Kluyveromyces lactis: one gene and its partners. The protein of the gene in region 3 purifies or fractionates together with the protein of the main gene of each other region. This does not show direct contact. Links are inferred from orthologs where the notes say so. Each region holds a gene or a part of one and is shown on either strand. Other genes may lie near its edges. The genes, in order: KLLA0_F13618g, KLLA0_D16236g, LPX2 and LSP1.

What was found.
Region 1: the proteins of LPX2 (region 3) and KLLA0_F13618g purify together in Saccharomyces cerevisiae (affinity purification with mass spectrometry; 3 studies listed by BioGRID). This does not show direct contact. The link is inferred for Kluyveromyces lactis from reciprocal best matches to the Saccharomyces cerevisiae genes EIS1 and SEG1.
Region 2: the proteins of LPX2 (region 3) and KLLA0_D16236g purify together in Saccharomyces cerevisiae (affinity purification with mass spectrometry; 3 studies listed by BioGRID). This does not show direct contact. The link is inferred for Kluyveromyces lactis from reciprocal best matches to the Saccharomyces cerevisiae genes EIS1 and YGR130C.
Region 4: the proteins of LPX2 (region 3) and LSP1 purify together in Saccharomyces cerevisiae (affinity purification with mass spectrometry, with the first as the bait; 3 studies listed by BioGRID). This does not show direct contact. The link is inferred for Kluyveromyces lactis from reciprocal best matches to the Saccharomyces cerevisiae genes EIS1 and LSP1.

What each region holds. Positions count from the first base shown.
Region 1 is NC_006042.1:1,260,225-1,265,884, reverse strand, and holds KLLA0_F13618g (uncharacterized protein), read right to left. Parts: upstream 3,578-5,660; coding exon 1,310-3,577; downstream 1-1,309. Other genes in the region: aspartate transaminase AAT1, read left to right, coding at 1-1,104; glutamine--fructose-6-phosphate transaminase (isomerizing) GFA1, read right to left, coding at 4,027-5,660.
Region 2 is NC_006040.1:1,365,734-1,371,254, forward strand, and holds KLLA0_D16236g (uncharacterized protein), read right to left. Parts: upstream 3,601-5,521; coding exon 985-3,600; downstream 1-984. Other genes in the region: protein translocase subunit TIM44, read right to left, coding at 1-512; KLLA0_D16280g (MARVEL domain-containing protein), read left to right, coding at 5,059-5,521.
Region 3 is NC_006039.1:1,066,987-1,072,669, reverse strand, and holds LPX2 (Lpx2p), read right to left. Parts: upstream 3,906-5,683; coding exon 1,413-3,905; downstream 1-1,412. Other genes in the region: SFK1 (Sfk1p), read left to right, coding at 102-1,028; formin-binding protein HOF1, read left to right, coding at 5,254-5,683. UniProt on the Saccharomyces cerevisiae protein: Required for normal formation of eisosomes, large cytoplasmic protein assemblies that localize to specialized domains on plasma membrane and mark the site of endocytosis.
Region 4 is NC_006041.1:1,271,068-1,275,549, reverse strand, and holds LSP1 (lipid-binding protein LSP1), read right to left. Parts: upstream 2,604-4,482; coding exon 1,647-2,603; downstream 1-1,646. Other genes in the region: KLLA0_E14433g (TauD/TfdA dioxygenase family protein), read left to right, coding at 1-1,048; ULA1 (Ula1p), read left to right, coding at 3,396-4,482. UniProt on the Saccharomyces cerevisiae protein: Together with PIL1, main component of eisosomes, structures at the cell periphery underneath the plasma membrane that mark the site of endocytosis.

The DNA of each region.
Region 1 (5,660 bases), on a different chromosome or scaffold from region 3:
CGTGTGACCACCTTCCCTAGTGTAGCTTCTGCCCAATCATTACTTGAGACGAGTCTCGATCTGAATAATGATTTATCGTATTTGCCTATCACTGGGTCGCAGGATTACCAAAACAATGTGTTAAATTTCTTGTATCGAGAGTCAAGTGACGGGAGTGAATTATTGGAGAACAACAGAATCACGTTTGTGCAAACTTTGAGTGGTACCGGTGCATTAGCTGTAGCTTCAAAACTCTTGGCAACGTTTGTGTCGAAAACCGTATGGATACCAAATCCATCTTGGGCTAATCATTCGAACGTTTTCCAATGGAACGGATTCAATCAGATCAAATATTATACGTACTACGAGGATGGGAAATTGAGTATCGATAAATGGCTCAAGGAACTCAAGGAGAGTTGTAGTTCTAGGGACCCCGACTGGCCCCCCTCTATAGTGTTACACGCTTGCTGTCATAATCCAACAGGAGTGGACCCTACGTTGGAACAATGGCAACAGATATTGCCAGTGATCCATGATTTAGGAATAACTCCCATAATAGACATGGCGTACCAAGGAATGGAATCAGGGAACCTTATACAGGATGCTTATCTATTAAGAATGTGTCTAGAATACGAATGGCCCAACGGTCTATTTGTGTGCCAATCGTTTGCTAAGAACATGGGCTTATACGGTGAACGTGTAGGTTCGTTAAGTGTCGTTGTCCCACCAAATCCCTTGGATCTCAAATCAACCATCGACTCTCAACTAAAGAAGATTGTAAGAGGTATATACTCTTCTCCACCGGGATATGGGTCTCGTGTAGCGAACTTGGTGCTAAGCAATCCAAAATTGAAGCAGCAATGGTTCGTAGACGTTAAGAATATGTCTGATAGACTATGGAACGTTAGAATTCAAATGCATGAGAGATTGAATTGGCCCAATCTTGTTGATTTTAAAACACAACATGGGATGTTTTATTACACAGGGTTAAACCCATATCAGGTTCAAATTCTGCAGGAGAGGTACGGTATTTATTTAACTGAAGACGGCAGGATGTCGTTATCTGGAGTTAACGACGGTAATATTGATTATTTATGCGATTCTTTGCGCCAAGTGGTTCAATAATCACATCAAGATGTTTCAATATCATCAAATTGACTTTAATTAATTTCACTTTATTTATTTATTTATTTATTACTACAAAGCTTCGGTTTGAATTGTACATTAGATAGTTTTTAGTGTTCTTAATCACAATTTTTGGGTAACTAGAATACAAAAGGGATTATAAATGCCCATTACATGTGTTTCGTGTTATATTAGTCGCTACTTTTCAGTGTTTCTTGTTACCGAAAAGCTTCTTTAGTTTACTGCTGAAGTTGTTCTTCTTTTTCTTCTCAGTAGTGTGAGTTGCGTTTATTTGAGGCTCTGGCTGAGGTCTCAAAGTAGCATGAGGATTGTATGGCGCGGGTGGAGGAGGTGCCGGTTCATATTCGCTTGAAACTTGAGTAGATCGACTCCCTTGGTTGCTGAACTGTAGGTTTGCGGATTCTTCGTCCGAATCAGAGTCGGCAAATCTTGATTTGAATCCATGAGCAATTGACGACGCTTTTGGTTTGTTATTGTTGGTATTGGAAGCAGGCAGTGGTACTGATCCGGAGACATACTGTACACCATTGTACGTTACTCCACTTTTAACAGGGGTTGAGTTTCTAGATTGTCTTTGTTGTGGATGTGGTTGGAATGGGGCTTGAGGCTGCTCGTACTGGTCAGTGAGTTGCGGATCCTCTCTCAACGATAAGTTTTTAAATCCAAGGTTGGTGGACATCGGTCTTTGCTTTTCGAAGCTTGAACGCTTTTGAGGAGGTTCCCTTGGGTAAAGTCCACTATTTTGTTGCGATTTGGCATTGTTGGACGGCTTCCCTACGACACTTCTAGGTCTAGCATCGCGAGGGGAAGCAACACCGGAATTATTCTGCATGAAAGAACGTCTATCACCATTAACTCTTTGAGCCATCATTGATTGCGGTCTTTGAGAATTTCTCTTAGGAGCTAGAGGCTGCTGGTTTTGCTGTTGCTGTCTTCGGTATTGATTTTGTGCTTGTTGTTTGCTGGCGGTTTCTCTCAAACTTTCGTGAGAAAGTTGCGCATTTAACCTAGTGTTTTCCTTTGTTGTTAAAGACAGATATGCGCTTGAAGCTTGAGATTGTTGTTGAAGTTGTTGGCTGTTGTGGTTTGTTTTCTTCATTGCGGATTTTATAGGTGAAGGAGTCTTTTCTAATGGAATCTTAGGGGTAACAAGAGCATCCTCCTCATTAACTCTCTGGAGTTCTGGATTAGCGGACCTGATATACTGAGCGAGGGTGCTTTTGCCTGTCTCCGGTTGGGACTCCGGTTGGGACTCCGGTTGAGATTCTGATTGACGTTCAGCAACGATAGGATCTTGAACTTCAATTTGATGTTCCTCTTCATCAACCACTTTTTCAACTATAGTTTCCTGGACACCATCGTTGCCAGGAAGAGCCTTTTCTTTTGAATCCGGAATATCTACTTTAGATGTGTTATGCTCTGCTTTTTTGAGAGATTCCTTGTCAGTTTCCTTCTCGGCATTAATCGTTTCATCTGGCAAAGAAGTAACTTCCTTCTGATGTGTAAGAATAACGTGTTCTTCTTCTACCACTTGCTTTGAATCAAGGTCGATCTTTTGTTCAACAGCTTCTTTGGTAACGCTTAGATCAGTATGAATTTTTGGCTGTTCTTCTTCTGTCGCTGAGTCTATCAAATCTTTAGTGATAGCTCTTTCAGGAGTCTGTGGTAATGCAGTACCGTTACCGAAGGATGGGGGTTTGAATTCTTCGACTGGAGCTGATGTTTCTTTGGCTGTAGTTGCATAGACAGTCTTTGTGATTCTAGGCACCGGTGATGGCGAAGACCTATAATGAGTAATATCCGCTTTTTTTTCTTCAACGGTAGGAACTTCTGTAAGTTTTTTCAATGGGGTTCCAGAAGGTGTTCTATGTCCAATTGAGTTTGCTCTTAAAGAGGCATGACTCCTTTTATTAGAAAGTGAGTTTCTTACAGTCATCCCACCACGTAAAGAAGTCGACCTTCTAAGACTGTTTCTCCTCTCAGCCTCGTACTGTTCCAAAGGAACTTCGACTTTGACCAACCCATGGCTGCTAGGAATGTATCTAGATACCATTTTAGGCTCATTATTGTCATTATCAACACGTACCAGACCACTGGGTCCTAGCACATATTTGGCCTCATTACCACCAAACTCATGGAAAACCTTGTCTGCATCGCTTTGAGCAACCCTGTTACCACTCTGTACGGAACGCATCGAGCCATACCTGGAAGAACGATCTCCAGTATCACTAGCATGTCTCACAGAGTTCCGACGAGAACTTGGTTTGGGACTGTTTACCATCGAGTAGGAACGGCCACTTATACTGTTATACCTGGGAATCTTACTCTTATCTACAACCTGGCCCCCAAACGAATCCTTAGAAGGTACCAGTGCCTTCCCAATGGTGTTTGCAGCAACCAAAGCACCAGGATCAATAGAACGCGATTCTCTTGACTTTCTAGAACGAAACATTTTTTTTATAAAAGCAACAGCAGCTTCTTTAATCCCTCTCTTGAACCAATTCCACTTAATATATACTTTCAGCTGACTGATACACGAATTACACCTGTTCTAGTGCCCTCTAACAAACAGTAATGGTATTTTACGTGCCTTTGCTTTCGTTATTTCTGTTGATGTTCGGCACTTAAAGTTCGATTTGAATGTTTTGCCCTTTTTTTTTTTCTGTTTTTATCTCAAGGTATCAATCATTCGAAAAGAAACCGAAATAAGACCAAATCGGACCTAAAGGTATGAAAACAAGAGACAAGAGGGTTACCATTGGTGTTACAATGTTAATAGTAGGTAGGAGGGGAACGGAATTGATCTGACGGGTTTGTTAATTATATATGTGGAGAATGTATCGGACAAACTAGAAAAATTAGATAAACTGTACGCAAAATGAGAAAAAGATAGAGCCTTTCTTACTCGACAGTCACGGATTTAGCCAAGTTTCTTGGGAAATCGACGTCGATACCGTTGTTGACTGCCAACCAATATGAGGTCAATTGTAATGGGATAATGTTCAATAGACCTTGTAGACAGTCGACAGTTTGTGGAACTTCCAAAGTAATCAAATTGTTGGCCTTGGCCTTGTTTTGCCAAACTTCATCGTTTTCGTTGCAGATAATGATTGGATGACCCTTTCTGGCTATCACTTGTTCGATTGAGGAAAGGACCTTTGGGAATAGGGAATCTCTGGTACCGAAAGCGATGATTGGTAAATCTTCGTCGACTAATGCTAGAACACCGTGTTTCAATTCACCAGCAAGCACACCTTCTGAATGCATGTAAGAGATTTCTTTGATCTTCAATGCACCTTCCAAGGCACTTGCGAATTGGTAACCTCTACCTAATAGAAGTAAAGATTTCTGATCCTTCAATTCTTTAGCACAAAGTTCTTTGATCCTTGGTTCCACGTTCAAGACTTCTTTGATTTGACCTGGAATCAATTTCAAACCTTGGATGATCTCGTTTCTTCTTTCGATCTTGGAGACTCTATCGTCTGATAGAGAAAGAGCCACCATTACTAATGCAATATATTGTGATGTATAAGCTTTTGTTGATGCAACACCGATTTCTGGACCAGCATTGATGTGGACACCGCAGTGAGTACTTCTAGAAATGGAAGAACCAACACTGTTCACGATACCCAAGGTCAATGCACCTCTTTCCAAACAGTAATTCAAGGACAACATGGTGTCAGCAGTTTCACCGGATTGGGAAACAAAAATACAAACATCGTCTCTAAAGATTGGGCATTTTCTATCCAAGAAATCTGACGCTAATTCCACTGATACTGGAATCTCCGTTAGCTCTTCGAAAATGGCTCTTGTAGCTAAACAAGAGTGATAAGAAGTACCACAGGCGATCATTATTAATCTACGAGCTTTCCTGATGGCAGACAATCTAGACTTTAGACCACCCAAGTTGACCAGATTGTGTTCAAAATCTATTCTACCTCTCATGGTGTTCAAAGTAGATTCTGGTTGTTCATAAATTTCCTTTTGCATGAAATGTTGGTATGGACCCTTCATAATTTGAGCCAATTCCATCTCAAGGGTTTGAATGGATCTGGTGGCAGATTCTGTCAATTTTTTGTTAGCTCTATGGATGTGCAATTCACCGTCGTAGATGTGAGCAATATCATCGTCTTCCAAGAACAAGACCTTCTTGGTGTGTTTTACAATGGAGGCAGCATCACTGGAAAGGAAAAATTCGATTGGAGATGGAGAACCGTCTTCTGATAAGAAAGCTCTTGATTGAGATCTACGCAAGGTACTTTCGTCACCGGCCAATGGAAGCAAACTTCTATCAGCATCGTTCAACAAGTTACATTCGTTGTTAACTGGCAAATCTGGTAACTGCTCAGAATCTGGGAATTCAACGTCGACGAAATCAACCTTCAATTTCTTTTCAGATTTAACACCGATCAACAATGGGGAACCCTTTCTTGTGGCGATGATTTCATTTGGATAATGAGTAGACTTACACAAAAGACCGTAAGAACCTTCCAACTCTTGCAAAACTTGCATCGTTAACTCATGGAAATCTGGAT
Region 2 (5,521 bases), on a different chromosome or scaffold from region 3:
TTCATCAATCTTCTTTGTTCCTTGGTGATGAAACCACCATAACGAGAAGAGTCCCCATCGTCAATAACTTCACTCACATCTTTATAAACTTTCGTTTTTCTAACTGGTTCAAAGCTTTCATCCAACTTATCAGCTGTCTTGTTCACAACTTTTCTGGTGGACTTGGCAATTTCAGAATCCCATGCCTTGGAGGCAATGGTTTCCACAGTTTCACCGGTCTTTTTCAAAGTTTTACCCACAATAGTAGAACCCTTCTGAGCCTTGACATACGCTTCGCGAGCTTTCTTGTAAGCTTCGGACTCACCTAACTTACCAGAAGCATCCTGTAAAGCTTTGATATTGTCTTGTAATTCTTTAGACTTCTCCCATTCCTGCTTAAAAGTTTCACGGAAGATCTGTAACGGAGATCTAGGGTTGCTCATAGCCTTAGCAGAGACTGTGAATGTACGCACGGTGGAAGCACGGGCAACTGCCTTGTGCATCATTGCTTGCTGGCCGTTAATTCTCAACATTGGCCTTATGATTTGTAAAGAGGTAAATTTAATACCGATAGAAAGGGCTGGAAAAAAGTGACGATACGGTCAAGGACAGTCAAAAGTAGTAACTGTTCACAGCCTAACTTCTAACTACTTATTTGGATATAGTAAGTCCAATTAAACTCCGATAACTATATGAGCTCTGTGATTATAATGAAAGATATTACTTTCATGAATAACTTTGAATAAAATCGATGATTGTTCATGAAATTTCATTCCAAAAAATAAAAAAAAAAAAAACTTCTCAAAAGTCCGCTTTATTTATATCAAACAAGAAAGACTGAAGTGGGACAAGACAAGGAGTACATTGGCTATCCCCTTCGTGCACAACTTTATCTAATGGATAAAGAAGTAGAATGATAAATCAATATAAATTAGAAACGACATATTTTAGAAATTACAAAGTCCAATGTTTAATGTTATTTCGTTTTAAGATCTCTTTTGTTATTCAATCAACAGTTATGACTTCTTCAACGGTTTCGTAGTCATATAGAGAAGAATTTGTGGTGTTTGCAGGTGGAACAGCTGCTTTCGTTTTTTTGTTGCTACTCTTCAGGGCATTTTCGACTGCACTGGCAGCTTCTGCTTGCCTTCTCAACTTTTCTTCGTGTTCAGCTTCCAGTCTCTTGTCTTCGGGATTACCTCGTTGTTGTGCTTCAATAGCCTTTTCACCTTGTAGACGAGTTCTTTCACGTTCTACTTGTTCACGTCTCTGTTGTTCTTCTTCAAGTTGTTTGGCCGCAGCTTCACGTTGCAACTGTGCCTCCTTCAGCGCCTCGTCGTGAGTTTGCTTCAGGTTAGCCAGCTCTTCTTCGTGCTTCAAACGAGCTTCTTCAGCTTGCTTTTCGTACTCGGTACGTTGCTTTTCTAAACGCTCCTTTTCTAAACGCTCACGTTCCTCTTTTTCTTTTAGCAATTGTTCTTCATGTTGTTTACGCTCTTCCTCCAATCTCCTAGTAACACTAGAAAACTCGACCTTTTGGTTGGCAATTTCTTGTTGAATTAAACCTAACGAAGCAAGTAGTGAAGAAATTTCGGTATTAATTTCATTGACCTTAGGTAAGTACTCCTTGTTGTCGATACTTTCGATCTTGGAGACGTTTTGTTGGTGAAGTTCTTGAGCTTCTTTAATTTCTTGTTCCAATCTGGCCTTCTCTTCTTCCAAAGCTTGAATTTCAGCATTAGTTTCATCCTTCTTAGCCAAGGATTCATTCAATGCAGATGTCTTATTATCCAATTCTGCTGTCAACTCTTCGACCTTCGATTCGTGTTCCTGGTTTTCCTTGGCAACTTCATCTTTCAACAACAACAATTCATCAATTTCAGATTGGACAGTTTGGTGAGCAACTTCTTTGTCCTCTTTATCTGAGATGGTTTGGTTCTTGATTTCTTCAGTTTGCTTGTACAGATCACCCTTGGCGTTAATGTGCTTGACGTTAGTTTCTAGTAATGCTTGAGATTTCTCAACTTGCTTCAACTTCAACTTTTCCTCATGTTCCAATCTAACCTGTTCCATTTGCGCGTCCAATTCAGCAATTTCAGCTTGAATTGATTGGATCTTTTCCTCGTACTCTTGGGCTTTAGTTTCATACCTTTCATCTTGTTCCTTGGAGTACAGGGCCAACTTGGCTTGGTGCTGGTCCTCGTCGTATTGCAACTTATCGTAAACAGACTTCGAGACGTAGCCTTCTTGTGTTCTGACAATTAACTCTGGATCTTCAGGGGTGGCCACTGGCGCATCATCGCCTGGAACAACGGTGCCAGCAGCGGCATTTGCAGCAACTTTGGTCGAGGACTCTGGTTTCTTCGAACGTTTGAAAAGGGCAAATAAGCCTGAAGCTGCAATTCCAGAAGTAGCTGCAGCAGTACCGGCCTTATTGGCGCCACTGGGTGTGAATGGAACACGAGGGGCAGAATTGATATCTGGTGGAGGAGAAATAGCTTCTGGGTTCTCAGTTGCGATAGCTTCGGCCTCTTGGAATGCCTCAACAGCTTCTTCCGGGGAAGGTTCGGCTTCAGGATCCACTGGAGGCTCCTCATTGTCCTGGACAATCGCCTCGGCTTCTTCGAACGCTCTCACAGCGGCCTCAGGTTTTGGTTCGCGTTTAGGATCGACCGGTTCCTCCTCGTCATCCTGGACAATAGCCTCGGCTTCTTCGAAGGCTCTTACAGCCGATTCTGGTCTAGCCTCACGAGATGGATCGACGTATTCATTAGCATCATCTTCCGGGGCCTTGTAAACACCGGTTGGATTTTCTTGTTCTTCTTCTTCAGCCAACGGGACTCTTGGAGGAACTTGGCCCTGCGCAATGGCTTCTGCTTCTTCAAGAGCTTCAACAGCAACTGCTGCTGATGGCTCGGCTTCAGGATCCACTGGAGGCTCCTCGTCGTCCTGAACAATTGCCTCAGCTTCTTCAAAAGCCCTCAGCGCGGCCTCAGGCTTTGGCTCGCGTTTCGGATCAACTGGTTCCTCTTCATCGTCTTCAGCCATAGCCTCGGCTTCTTCTAGAGCTTCAGCTACATCTTCAATGGGAGGTTCCTTACTAGGGTCCACCTCATCCAGTTCGTCCAAGTTATCCGACGCTTCAATTGCTTCCTGTGGCTTGGTTAAATCCACAATCTTTTGAGACTTTCTCCAATAACGTAACTGTTTCTCCTTCTTTTCCAACGCAGTCAATCTAACCTTCTGCTCAGCCTCGGTATCCTTCAACCCAGAAGGAATAATAATATCCTTGGCCTTCTTCACTGACTTGTCGGTAACAACGCTGTACCCCATCTGTTCCGGGTCAAGTTGTACCGCACCTTGGCTCAGAGTAGGGAACTTCTCCTGTCTCACTTGACGCGCACGTTGAGTTTCTTCCGCCGTACGGAAGGGAGAATGGTACTCATTATCATCTAGTTCTTCCTGGTGCTGCTGTTGTTTCGTGGTAACTCGCTTCAAAATACTGTTACTGTTGGTAAGATCATGCTGTTGTTGCTGTTCGGCGGCATGGTCCGCGTCATCGAGCAACCCTGCAAAGGGGTCAATTTCGTTCCGTTTCCTAAACAAGTTCAAACCGACCATTATTAACTGGAGTTCTATGGGATAGGATGCTGCTGTGTGCGTTCCAAACTAAATCAGGATCAGCGTCTAATCGCTGTCGTTGTTTATATGCAAAGAAACTTCCTTCCTTTATTTATATAAAGGAGGTATAATAAATGAAAAGGGAGGAAAAAAAGGGAGATCCGACAGGGTAACACGCGGCTAACTAAAGAAAGCCGGGTAACACCGATATCACATTGGAAATTTTGAAGGGACCTCATATTCTCGCATGTAAATCGCCAAGGTCATCCCATTTTGCTCTTAGAGCAAACAGCAATAGCAAGCGCAAAAAACGCACGGAGAACCACTCATTTTTTGTATGGCCTCGGCCCCCCCACACTGGACAACGGAAATAAGCAAACTAACAAAAAAAAAAGAAACAAAAAGAGGGACCCAGGGGACGGTTTTGTTTACATTACCCTGCCTCCCCTAAAACAAAAGACGTATGCTTTTCTCATCTTCGGCAGGAAACCTGAATGGTTCTGCCGTAGCGATGTCTAATACCGGGTAATGCATGTTCCCCTATTTCTTACTCGTCGCTGCACCGGCATCTGAGCGAATTCAAGGTTTTCCCTCTTTTTTTTTTCCATGTCATCACAGAAAGTTTTTTTTTTTTTTATTTGTTTTGCTGTTTTCAAGCCGAGAAGACATTGAGATACTGCGCCCGGGTCTGAGATTGCTGTCAATTGTTCGTTTGTTTTGGTTTGTTATGAAACTGGAAAACGCTGGAACAAACAAAAACCTTACCGCTAGAATTGCAGGTACTACGGAAGAGCAGAGACTGAAACTAAAAGCTATGAATGAGGCACTTCTTTATTTCTATTCGATACAGAGGGATATCCAGAGAGATATCCAGAGGTTCCAGTTTCAATTCTAGGTCTCTCTGGTTGCTTTCGGCAGAACAATTGGGTCTAGTAGAGACAGATGCAATTACGTTTTATTCTGAAAGAACTGAATGAAGAAGTATAAGCACGGAAAAAAAACAAAAAAAAAAACCATTTCTTGGTAATGAGAAGAGAAGAAACTGTTGTCTTTTGCATTTGTTATTGTTTTTGCCTCTTTCTGTTAAATGGTATTAGTTATACAGAGTTTTTTGAGTGCAGGTATATAAAGGGTAAAAGTTTAAGGAAGAAATATTTCAATCCGGAAATGATTACATATATTGTATGGTTCTATCCTTTAATAAATAAGGGAAACAAATTATAAATTTTTTCTGGTTCTTACTTTACTTCTTTCCTTCACTCTTTTACTTAATATATAAAATAATACTATTATTGTTTAATTAATAATACTTCTGTTATCAATTAAGGTTTAAGTCTTTACATCAATAAAAGATAAATTAAGTTCGAATTTGATTGCTTGCTTGATAAAAAGTTGGTAAAAGAAATCTCTCAAGCTGAAATTAAACCAAAACTCTAATATAAGAAAAAAAAATAGAAAATGCTTTCAATCTTAGACAATTCGCTTCGTGGTGTTAACTTTGTGTTTTTAATCATTGTTCTCGGTCTAGTCGGTAATTTGATTGCTACTCAGGACCATTCTAGTTCCAGAGTTAACTTTGCTATCTTTGCTGCTGTTTTCGGTATCGTTTTCGACTCGTTGTATGCTTTGATAGCTAACTTCATCTCAGCTTTGGCTTGGCCTATCATATTAGTCTCTTTGGACTTCTTGAACTGGGTTTTCACCTTCTCTGCAGCCACTGCTTTGGCCGTTGGTATCCGTGGTGGTTCTTGTACTAACGACAGTTTCACTTCCGGAAACAAGATTGCTGAAGGTTCTAAGGACAGATGTCGTAAGGCACAAGCTTCTACTGTGTTCTTGTACTTCTCCTTTGCCATTTTCTTGGTCAAGTTCATCTTGAGCATTGTTAATGCTATCACTTCCGGTGCTTTCGGGACCAGTT
Region 3 (5,683 bases):
GGTCAACATAGCTCATTCCTTTAAAGAATATCACTGGTAGACATTCTCATAAGGATTGGATTTGATACAGGTATAAACGTAAACCGCAAGACTATACTAATATGTTTCCACGTCCAGGTAACTACTGGTTTATCTTTCCCTGGATAGCTTTCATTCCATGGTATGGGATGCTAATTGCGATGTTGGCATGTTGGGCAGGACAAGGTCATCCCATTTATTGGTTCATGCATACAGACCAGTTCCCGGTTTATATATCCCATATTGGTGCGACCAATTTAAAACCGTTGTTTATTTCTTGTGCGGCATGGCAAGGTCTAGGATACGTAATCATGGTTGCTCTAGAGTATTTTCAAAGATCTGGTCATTGGCCTTTCAAGTTACCGTATACTTATCATGATGACTTAGAAAAATCTAACGATAGCTCTATAATGGAATCGAACTACATCGAAGCTTTAATTCAGAAGAAATATGTCATGCCTCCATTTTTTACCAAACATGAACGGAATCTAGTATGGGCCTCATTCGTACTAGGAAGTATAGGTGAATTGGCTTTGCTTATGTGCACTATCTTCTCAACAAACACGTATCCTAGGGTGCACAGTTCCATGGTGGGTATATTCTGTGCATTTGTCGGATTGAGTGTAATTTGTCATGTCGCACAATATATGACAATGGGCAGACACTACGCTGTCGTCCATCCTCTTACAAGTAGTGAAGATATCGGCAAAGACACAAGGTGGAATGAATGGCACGGCCATGTTTGGAACAAGTATACTATCAGTGGCTTACTAAAGGCATTTTGGGTAATAGCTGCTTTCGTTTGGGCTATTTGTTTTGCATGCTTAGAAGATAGATCAACGACTGCCTGTTTTGAATGGCTATTGGCATTTTGGTTCGGATTATATTTCATTATTGTCTCTGTTGACTGGTATATTGGCGGAAGATATACCCAGTCCAAGTATTTCCATCAAATCACAATTACGGAGAATTTGAACTATTACAAGTACAATCAGTTGAACGCACTATAACTCACTTAGTTTCTCAAGAAATTATTAATGAAGTTGTAAATATAAACTACTCGGAAGGATATTCTGAAATATAGCATAATGATAATACTAGTTAGAACTTTACAAAAAATAGAGTATATTATAGATAGAATAAACAGAACAGAATAAATTACCAGGCTTCTGGGAATTTTAAAAAGTGTTATGAGATAGAGAAAAAAATAAAGTTCATAGTGATACATAACGGTTTGTTACTTTGAAATGGCTTCAAATTATGAAGAGTTGAATCATTCTGACACTGTAATTAAAAGATCAATCAATAAAAAGAACTTTTTGATATACGTGATGAATTGGTTTTAGAGTTCAATAGTATAAAAAAATGTGAGCAGACCATGTTCACAGCTCAAATCAAAATACTTCTTTGAACAAGGACTTTCTGTTGTCCTTGGAAGTAGGCTCTTCTTTTCCACCTTCTACTTCAGAAGCATCTGACTGTTCGACTTTATTATGAACGGAGCCTTGACTAAAGCCACTAAATGATGGTTCCAGTGAAGGTTTGGTTTCTGTTGCTGTAGATTTCGGTTCAACATTTTCCTTCTTTTCGGTTGTGACAGTTGCCGTTACTGGTTTATTAGAAGGCTTTGGGGAACTTTTAAGAGGAGTTGGTTGCGTGGTCTTTGTATTCTTATTTTGATCAGATGGCTTCAAACCAAAAAATTTCTTGATAGAAGATCCTTTCTGGTCCTTATCAGATTTTTTCTTTGATTTCAATGGAGAGGTTAATCCTCCAATTGAATGCTTTTTGTGAGCAGGTGGAGAGGCAGGGACATCCGCTTTAACATTTCCAGTAACACCTTCAATTTTGGTACTTTTTGAAGAAGGTTCTGATAACTTTGGGTCAGATTGCAATTTAGTTGCTGGCTCAACTTTTTTTTGGCTAGCAAGGAATTCTCCAGATGTTGTTCCCAGGAAAGCCTTGGCCTTTTCTTCGTCAATTTTATCCTCATTCTTTACTTCAGCAACTTCTTTCATAGCGTCAATTAATTTAAGTTTTTCCCTCTTTACTTCAATTTCGGTGTTTGATAGTTCAGTTTGACGTTCGTTAATTATCGCATCTACTTCCAATTGCTTGACCCTTGCTTCTTCACTGGAAACCTTGGCTTCTTCCTTTGCTTTTTCGGCCATTATGACATAATTGGTTTCGATACCATCTTTCAACTGTTGATGGCTTTCAGACTGGAGATTTAAAGCTTCAGTCTCTGTTTCCAGTTGCTGTTGCTGTGTTTCAATTTGAGCATTTAATTCTTCTACATGAGATTTATGTTTTTCAATTGAATCACGAAGCTCCTGGATATTTTCTTCAATTTTACCCTTTTGATCCTGTAACTCCGTGTGATGGTCTTCTGCAGCAGCGAGGTCATTTTTGAATGGAACCAGTAACTCTTCCTGGTCTTTCTTAGCCTGTTCAAGTTCATTTTCATTGCTTTTTTGTAAGTCGGCACATTCTGTTGTAATCATTTCATCCTCTCTCTTTAGCTCTTCTTCATTATCCTCTTTTAATTTAGCAAGTTCCGCCTTCTTAGCTTCGAGTGCCTCTTTTAATTTAGCGACCTCACTGTCCTTCTGCGTACAAAGATTCTGGAACTTTTTGGCCAAAGTAGCTTCGATATCAGCAGTTTCCTTCTGATGATTTTCGAAAGCTTTAGCCTGTAGCAAAGAATCATTGTTTTGCTTTTCAGTTTGAATATTGACCCATTCTTCGTATTGCTGTTGGTAATCCACGCTTCTTTTTTGGATATCAATGTCCATTGCACGTTGAGCGCCGGTTCTTTGGTCAACTTCATCAAGCACTGGTGCAATGAGACCCTTCGCAATATTATCGATATCATCAGGAGCTAGCCATAAACCACCGCCCAAATTTACTTTATTGGCAGTAGCAGAAGCAGAAGAACGAGTCTTTCTTAAATTTTCCTGAGCGACACTAGCAGCAGCCCTGTTATACTCCGCGTTTCTAAAGATAGCCCTTTGAGAAGTCTCACGATCAATGGTATCCAAACGTTGTTGAGCGTTCAGTTTAGCTTTGGTTAGGACTGTTTCTGAAGTCAAGTTCTTGATAAGCCTTTTCCTTTCTTCTTCCCTCTCTCTCCAGTTCTTGTCGGTGACATCATCCGGGTTGAAATCCTTCAATGCAGCAACAGCTTTCTGTGCCCATTCAGCTGCATGAGATTCCTTTTCAGCGGATTGGATGTACTCCTTTTTGGTAGGTAAATTAGATACAATATCAGAAGTTAGAGAGAAACTTGCATCAGCAGCTTTGCCCACAGAACGATCAGTGATACCTCTCACATAAGAAACCTTTTCTGGATTAGTACGTTGATGAACACTTTCAGCAGCGTTTCTTTCAGCACCCGCCAAAACTTTAGTAATATCCATCTTTGGTGTCTTAGAGTGCAATGGCGAAGAAGAACTGGAATTGACATAGGTTACAGTAGTACTTGCTGTACTAGAGGTCCTAGACCTAGCAGCCTTGGGAGCAGCAATTGCAGCAGAAGACGCAGCAGACGAAACTACAGCACTGGCTGGTCTGGATTGGTCAGTTTTCTTTGGAGTAATGACCGCATTAGCTGCCTTCGAAGCATTTGGATTCAATAACCTTTTGTAGGCTTCGATGGTGGTCTTGTTGCTCGTTGCCAAATTGGCAGCAGTATCTGAAGCATCCTTACCATTAACCACGCCGGCCTTCAGAGACTGAGCTGGAGACTGGAACACACCGTACTTCAATTTTGCTCTGTATAGAGCCTCCTTGGATAATGGTTTACCGGCACTCTGGTAAACAGAACTTTGTTCTGCACCATTAGTATCCCTGGATTCGTCGCCAGTTACCGCAGAAACTAAAGACATTCTGTTTCTGGTAATATATCTGGGTATTTTCTTAGCTACTAATAATTCAAAGTAAAAAGCGAAAGTGTTCCTTAGACTCGTACAATTGAGCGACCAAGTAGTGTAGTTTTTTGGTTTATGTTCCTCTCAAATTTGTAAAACACAATAGGACTTGGTTCACGTTCTGATTTCGATATCAGTAATTTGCTTATCCTTTGCCCGTTTTTTGAGAAGTTTAGTATTAACTCTTCTTTCTAGTGGGAGTAAACGTAACTATGATAAACCTTTACTTGTAATTACGAACGAAATACACTTGAATTCACGTTTGTTTTATAATAAAGCAACGAAGCGAATATATGCTAAAGTGAATTGTTGATTAGAAACCCTATAATTAAGGATATATAATTTCTTGATATTGCAAAGTAAATAAACTTAAAAGAAAAAAAAATTGGCTAGAGTGACTTTTTAGGGACTCCTGGCGAAAAAAAACTGGCCAGAATAATTGAGAATAAAAAAGGAAGGAACCAAGCTGAGGTACCGCAGAAACTTATACCCTCAGTGTAGTTGGAACCCTTGCTGTTGAGCTGGTGCCTTGGTTGTCATCTTTGTTTGCCGTTTTTAAGGGGACGATTGCTATTACGAATTGTATCATTGTATGTACTGTGTTGCAGAGAAATAGTCTCAATTTGGGAACAATGTCGTAATGAAAACAGGGGAAAACTCGGCTGGTTACCCTGATATACAGTTTGTACGTTGTTTTCTGTGAACCTTCTTTGATGGTTCTTAGCAGGAAGAAAATACTCACGACGTTTTTGCTAATTATTTCATTGCAATCCCGTGCGGAGCTAAAGCATATCACAAAGGAGACATAGAGAGTTTTGCGATGGGTTAATTCAGGAATTTAATTGGACTCTCAAGTCATTAGACGGTGCTGTCCATATACCAGGGTAATCGTCAGAGATTATGGGGATTTTAGGCTCTCCTATTTATCCTCGCTTTCTCTTTTCATGTTCTTGTACGGCCGGTACAGACAAAAATGATAGAGGTACAGAATTAAGCATAATTTCCCTTTTTGGTATTATTACTTGCTTTGCAATAAACAAACAAAAATATAAGTCACGTGATTGAACTTATTCCCCAATCAGGAATAATGTAAACATCATCGAACAGCACTATCACAGTGATTGTATTCAGTTGTAGAGATGGATGGTTCTGGCTCTCTCACCAAACTTTGTTCGGTGTATGTTAACAATTCACAAGGATTGAAGTTAGATGTACGGTATCTGTTTTGTCATTCAACAATCTACAATTGAAGGGAAGTTGAGGGCATAACAAAGAGTAGGTATTAGCAAGGAAAGCTATCGATTGAATGACTCAAATATACAACTATCAAGAAAGTTTCTGGGACGAAGACGATCAAGGTGTTACCGTTCTTCTTCAGCATGTTGGAAGAGGTATATGCACCTGTGAGTTATTGCTCGATTGTTTCACTAAGAGAAGTGAGTTGGAGATGGATTATGCAAGAAGATTAGGAGCACTCAGTGCAAGAATAATGAACAATCTCGAACGATATGCGGACTACAATAATATGTCTGAATCCTTAAAATATTTCCAATCCTCCCAGCAGACAATAGCCAATGGTCATTCTAAGGCATATGAGAGGCTCAACAGGGAAAATGTCGGTACGATGAGTGATTTCTTAAAGCAATATAGAGCCAGATGGTCAACGATAACGGGAAACGTGGAAAACTTAAGGAAGTTGAAAGATGAAAAGAAGAAAGCCTTGAAATCTATAGATC
Region 4 (4,482 bases), on a different chromosome or scaffold from region 3:
AAAAAAACAAGCTAAATACAAAGATTATCTACCAAGCTGGGATCCTAATGAGAAATTCCCTCCACATTCTTTCGTTAAGTATGAGGATCCTGCATTGAAAGCTAATCCAAAGTTTCCCCATTTGTTGACAAGTGGTGTTGAAATCAGTCCTATTACTCCAAAACTGGGGTCTGAAATTAGGGGCCTTCAACTTAGTGAGTTGGATAATGCTGGCAAGGATGAGCTAGCTCTTTTGACTGCTGAAAGAGGTGTTCTTATTTTTAGAGATCAAGACTTTGTCGATAGAGGTCCTGGATACATTGAAGAGTATGGGAAGTATTTTGGTGAATTGCACGTTCATCACGCTTCCCCAGCTCCAGAGGGTCATCCTTATATTCATGTGGTTTACAAAAATGTGAAAACAGAAGACTATGACAAATTTTTCGAACAAACTTTGACCTCTGTGTATTTCCACACAGACATCACATTTGAATTACAGCCATCCGGTTATACCTTTTTTGCAGTGCTTGATGCTCCTCAATCTGGCGGTGATACCTTGTTTGGTGATGCGATTGAAATCTTTGATAGATTGTCGCCATCCTTGCAAGAATATTTGAGTGGATTACATGCCGTTCACGCGTTACCACCAAACGGCGATGCCTTTTCTCCTGATCCTACCAAGCGCATTTCAAGACATGAAATCTATGACGTTATCCATCCTGTGGTAAGAGTCCATCCAGTTTTGAAGAAGAAAGTCCTTAACATCAACAAAGTGTTCACCAGAAAAATTGTCGAACTAAAGAAACCTGAATCAGATGCTCTTCTAGCATTTTTGTATCAGGTTATCGATAATGCTCATGATGCTCAAGTTAGGGCTAATTGGAAGCCGGGCACTGTAGTTGTATGGGATAATCGTAGATTGTATCATGCTGGTGTATATGATTTCGATGCTTCTGAATCTACAAGACACCATGTCCGTGTGACTCCATTGGCAGAAAGACCAGTCGAGGATTTGAAATATTTGAATGACCCAAATTATTACCCAATTGGTTCAAAACCTGGTAAATGAAGCTCCTTCAATTTTTTCATGCTATGTAAATTGTTTTAACTTAACTTATTAAGACTTTAACTGACTGCTTCTTTTAAAATGAATATACTTATGTTTCTAAAAAGGATACTTGAATCAATTATCACGTTGTTCCGTATCTTATCCTTGCTAGCTCGAACTTTCCACTAAATCCAAAGACTTTTCGAGTGTTATTTCCTGTGATTTATTGGCCGTTTTTATTCATACCTAGAGAAGCCAGCAGGAAAATTCAAAACAGATTGATCGATATTACGACCGAATTCCAATGGCTGTTATTAACTCAGCACGATATTAGAAGTTAGTGTTACTTAAAAGAGATATAGAAATGTTTTATTACATAGAATATGAGAGTAGCAATGGTATAACGGACTTCACATACTACCGTTTTACCTGTCACACAGTAACATTGCGAGCTCTCTGGAAAAATTCATTTTTAAAAGTTAAAGAGGGCACGTACACGGCAGGAACGAGTATTTGATTCTACAATAAATCATTCCAATATACGCTAGCCACATACATTTTTAAAGAAGTGAGTGTAGCGGCATTGGTAAAATAAACTAACGCATGTGATCGCGAGAGCTTATTTAACTTCAGTAGTCTCAACAGCTTCTTCTTCTTGGCCACCTTCATGTTCACCAGCCCACTCTTCTTCAGCAGCTAAGGCTTCACCTTCCTCGCCATCTTCATCGACGTAAACATCATCGACTGTTTGGTGGAAGGACAAAGTTGGCTTGATAGCAGCGACATCCAAGGTCCAGGATTCCAAAGCTGATTCGGCATCCATGATGATTTGTCTTGAAGCTTCGTAACCATCGTAAGCGGCTCTAGCTTCTCCAGGAGTCACTGGAGAATCGTCCAATAGTTCTAGTAAGGCCTTACCGTAACCAGCGATTAATGCGAATTTCTCAGCTAATTCTCTCACAGAGTCGAATTGATAATTGAAAGCAGCCTTTAATCTTTCTCTGGTAATGTTAGACAATTGGGCTTCAGCAACCAACGATTCGGCTTCAGCACGAACCAATTCTTGCTCCAAAACTGGGATCTTGGTGGATTGAGGGTCCTTGTACTTCAAGTGAGCAATCTCATCAGTAATCTTTTGCTTACGGTCTCTTGATGGTTGCACAGAAGCTTCAATGTTTCTGATAGATTTCAAAGTAATTCTGTATTGGTCATACTTGTCAATGAATTGGTCTTGCAATTCAGCCAGTTCATAGATAAGAACGCCTAGCTTGTCAGTCACGTCAGACACGTCATCGTCATTTTCAGAACCCCATAGAGACAATTGTTTAGCAGCAACACGACGTTCACTAGCAACAACTTCTAAAGCTCTCAAGTAACCCTTTTCGGTCTTAATTAAAGAGGATAGCTTTCTAGATAACAATGGGCCGAACTGACCAGCAGTATTCTTTCTGATACTGGAGGCAAAAGAACCCTTACCAAAAAACTTAGACTTGGTAGTAGATTGTGGTGGAGCTGGAGTTTGGAGCTCTGAAGCTGTAGGAGCCTTCTTATTTCTCAAAGAGTAAGTTCTGTGCATTTTTGGAGACTAGTATCGGTATTTAATTTAACTTCTTGATATCGAATATTTTCTGTTTCCCCTATTTCTTAATCTAAAAGCAGCACTAGAAGAGTAAATTGGCCCAAAAAAAATTTCGATTCAACTAGATTAAACTATGTATCGAAGTTTACTTGATATACCTGCGTAAGACCCCTAAAATTAATCCGTCAGAAAACAAGACAGGTAGAAAGATAATCAATTACTTTATATAGAGGAAAGTTATATGTAGATAGCAAAAAAGGTTCTGTCCCAGGCCAAGAAACTCTGATTATTTTTTTACTGCCTATTGCCCTTTTCAGTTATTCCCAAATAAAAAAAAAAAATGCATAGAAAGAGAAAGAGAAACAGAACATGACCCACACTTACTTTCTCTAGGGACATTGACATGGCATGAGCCACGCAATTTTTCTCTTCTTTGCAAATTGCGGGCACGGTTCTCTATGTTGGTTTCTTCAGAAACTTTTGTTCGACTCTTCTTTTCGGCTTATCATTCGAGACTGGAAAGAATCGTATGTAGGTGGATGATATTATAGTACTTCCTGCTTCCGCTTTGTCTGGTGATGGTGGTGTTGGTTTATGATATAGCCGTAGCAAAAACAGGGCCAGGAAATGACGAACTAACAGTGTATTGCCGGCCTTATGTTGGCTCTTTAGAGTCTCTTATGAAGTTTTAGGGTAATGCTGAAGTACTCGTCCGGGTAACGGTATGCAGTTGATCTAGCTTGAACTTTGGTAATCCAACTGATTCGCTTGAACTTTTAAGCTCATCTCATGATAAATACGTCATTTGATTCCAATCAAGGCGGGCTCTCTTGCATTAGAACTAGTGTTAAAGATCAAGGACCAAGGGCGTTGGTACAGGTTATGGCTGATCAGATAAATGGTGGTTTGGATGACCGTTATGATCGACAGTTGATGATCTGGGGCCATTCAGGCCAGGATTTACTTTCTCAGTCTCATGTGTGCGTTGTAGACGATAATCAGACATTGTTGATGCGAGAATGTGTCAAGAGTTTGGCTCTCATGGGTATTCATGAGATTACTGTAGTTTTTGGCTCGTCTAATGGATCAGATTTTGTGAACAAGTCAAACTCGGATATTTTAGGTTTTGATGCGTTAGAAAGTATGAATCCAGATGTTACGTTCCATATTTGGAACGAGAATGCAGTTCCAATTGATTCACAACATAAGTTATGGAACTCTTTCTCTATTGTCATATGTTTGTGCACGGCTGGTCCGTTGTTACAACGTGTCATGAAACTCTCAGCAGTTCCTCTGATAATGGCATCCACCAACGATAACTTGGGATTTGTTCGTCTTATAGGCAGTGAACCTCATTGTGTCATTGATTCTCATGGACATTTCACTTTCGATTTAAGACTCAATCGTATGTGGCCTGAACTAGCAGAATATCACGAATCATTCGATGTAAAAAATATGTCACAGGAAGAGGTATCCTCCTTGCCTTATTCCGTTCTACTGTACAATGTGGGAAAATCATTAAAGTCAAAGAATATTCCTATCAATAGAAAATCAGTGAGGGCAGAGTTCATCGAACTTCACGATTCTATACTCTCTGGACCCTTGACCAATGATTTGAACTTTGTGGAAGCAGAGAGGTCCTCATTCCTGTTATACGATCAATCAGGACCATTTCCTCACAATTTGACCAACATCTTGAATAGTTTTCATGCTGAACCTAATTCTACAATTAATCGATGGGTATACCAATTTGTACGATGCATCAGAATATTTTACGATTTGAGAGGCGATTTACCTGTGTCCGCATTCATTCCAGATATGGAATCCTCAACTAAACTATTCAACGCGCAGAAAGCAGTATATCAACGTAAAGCTG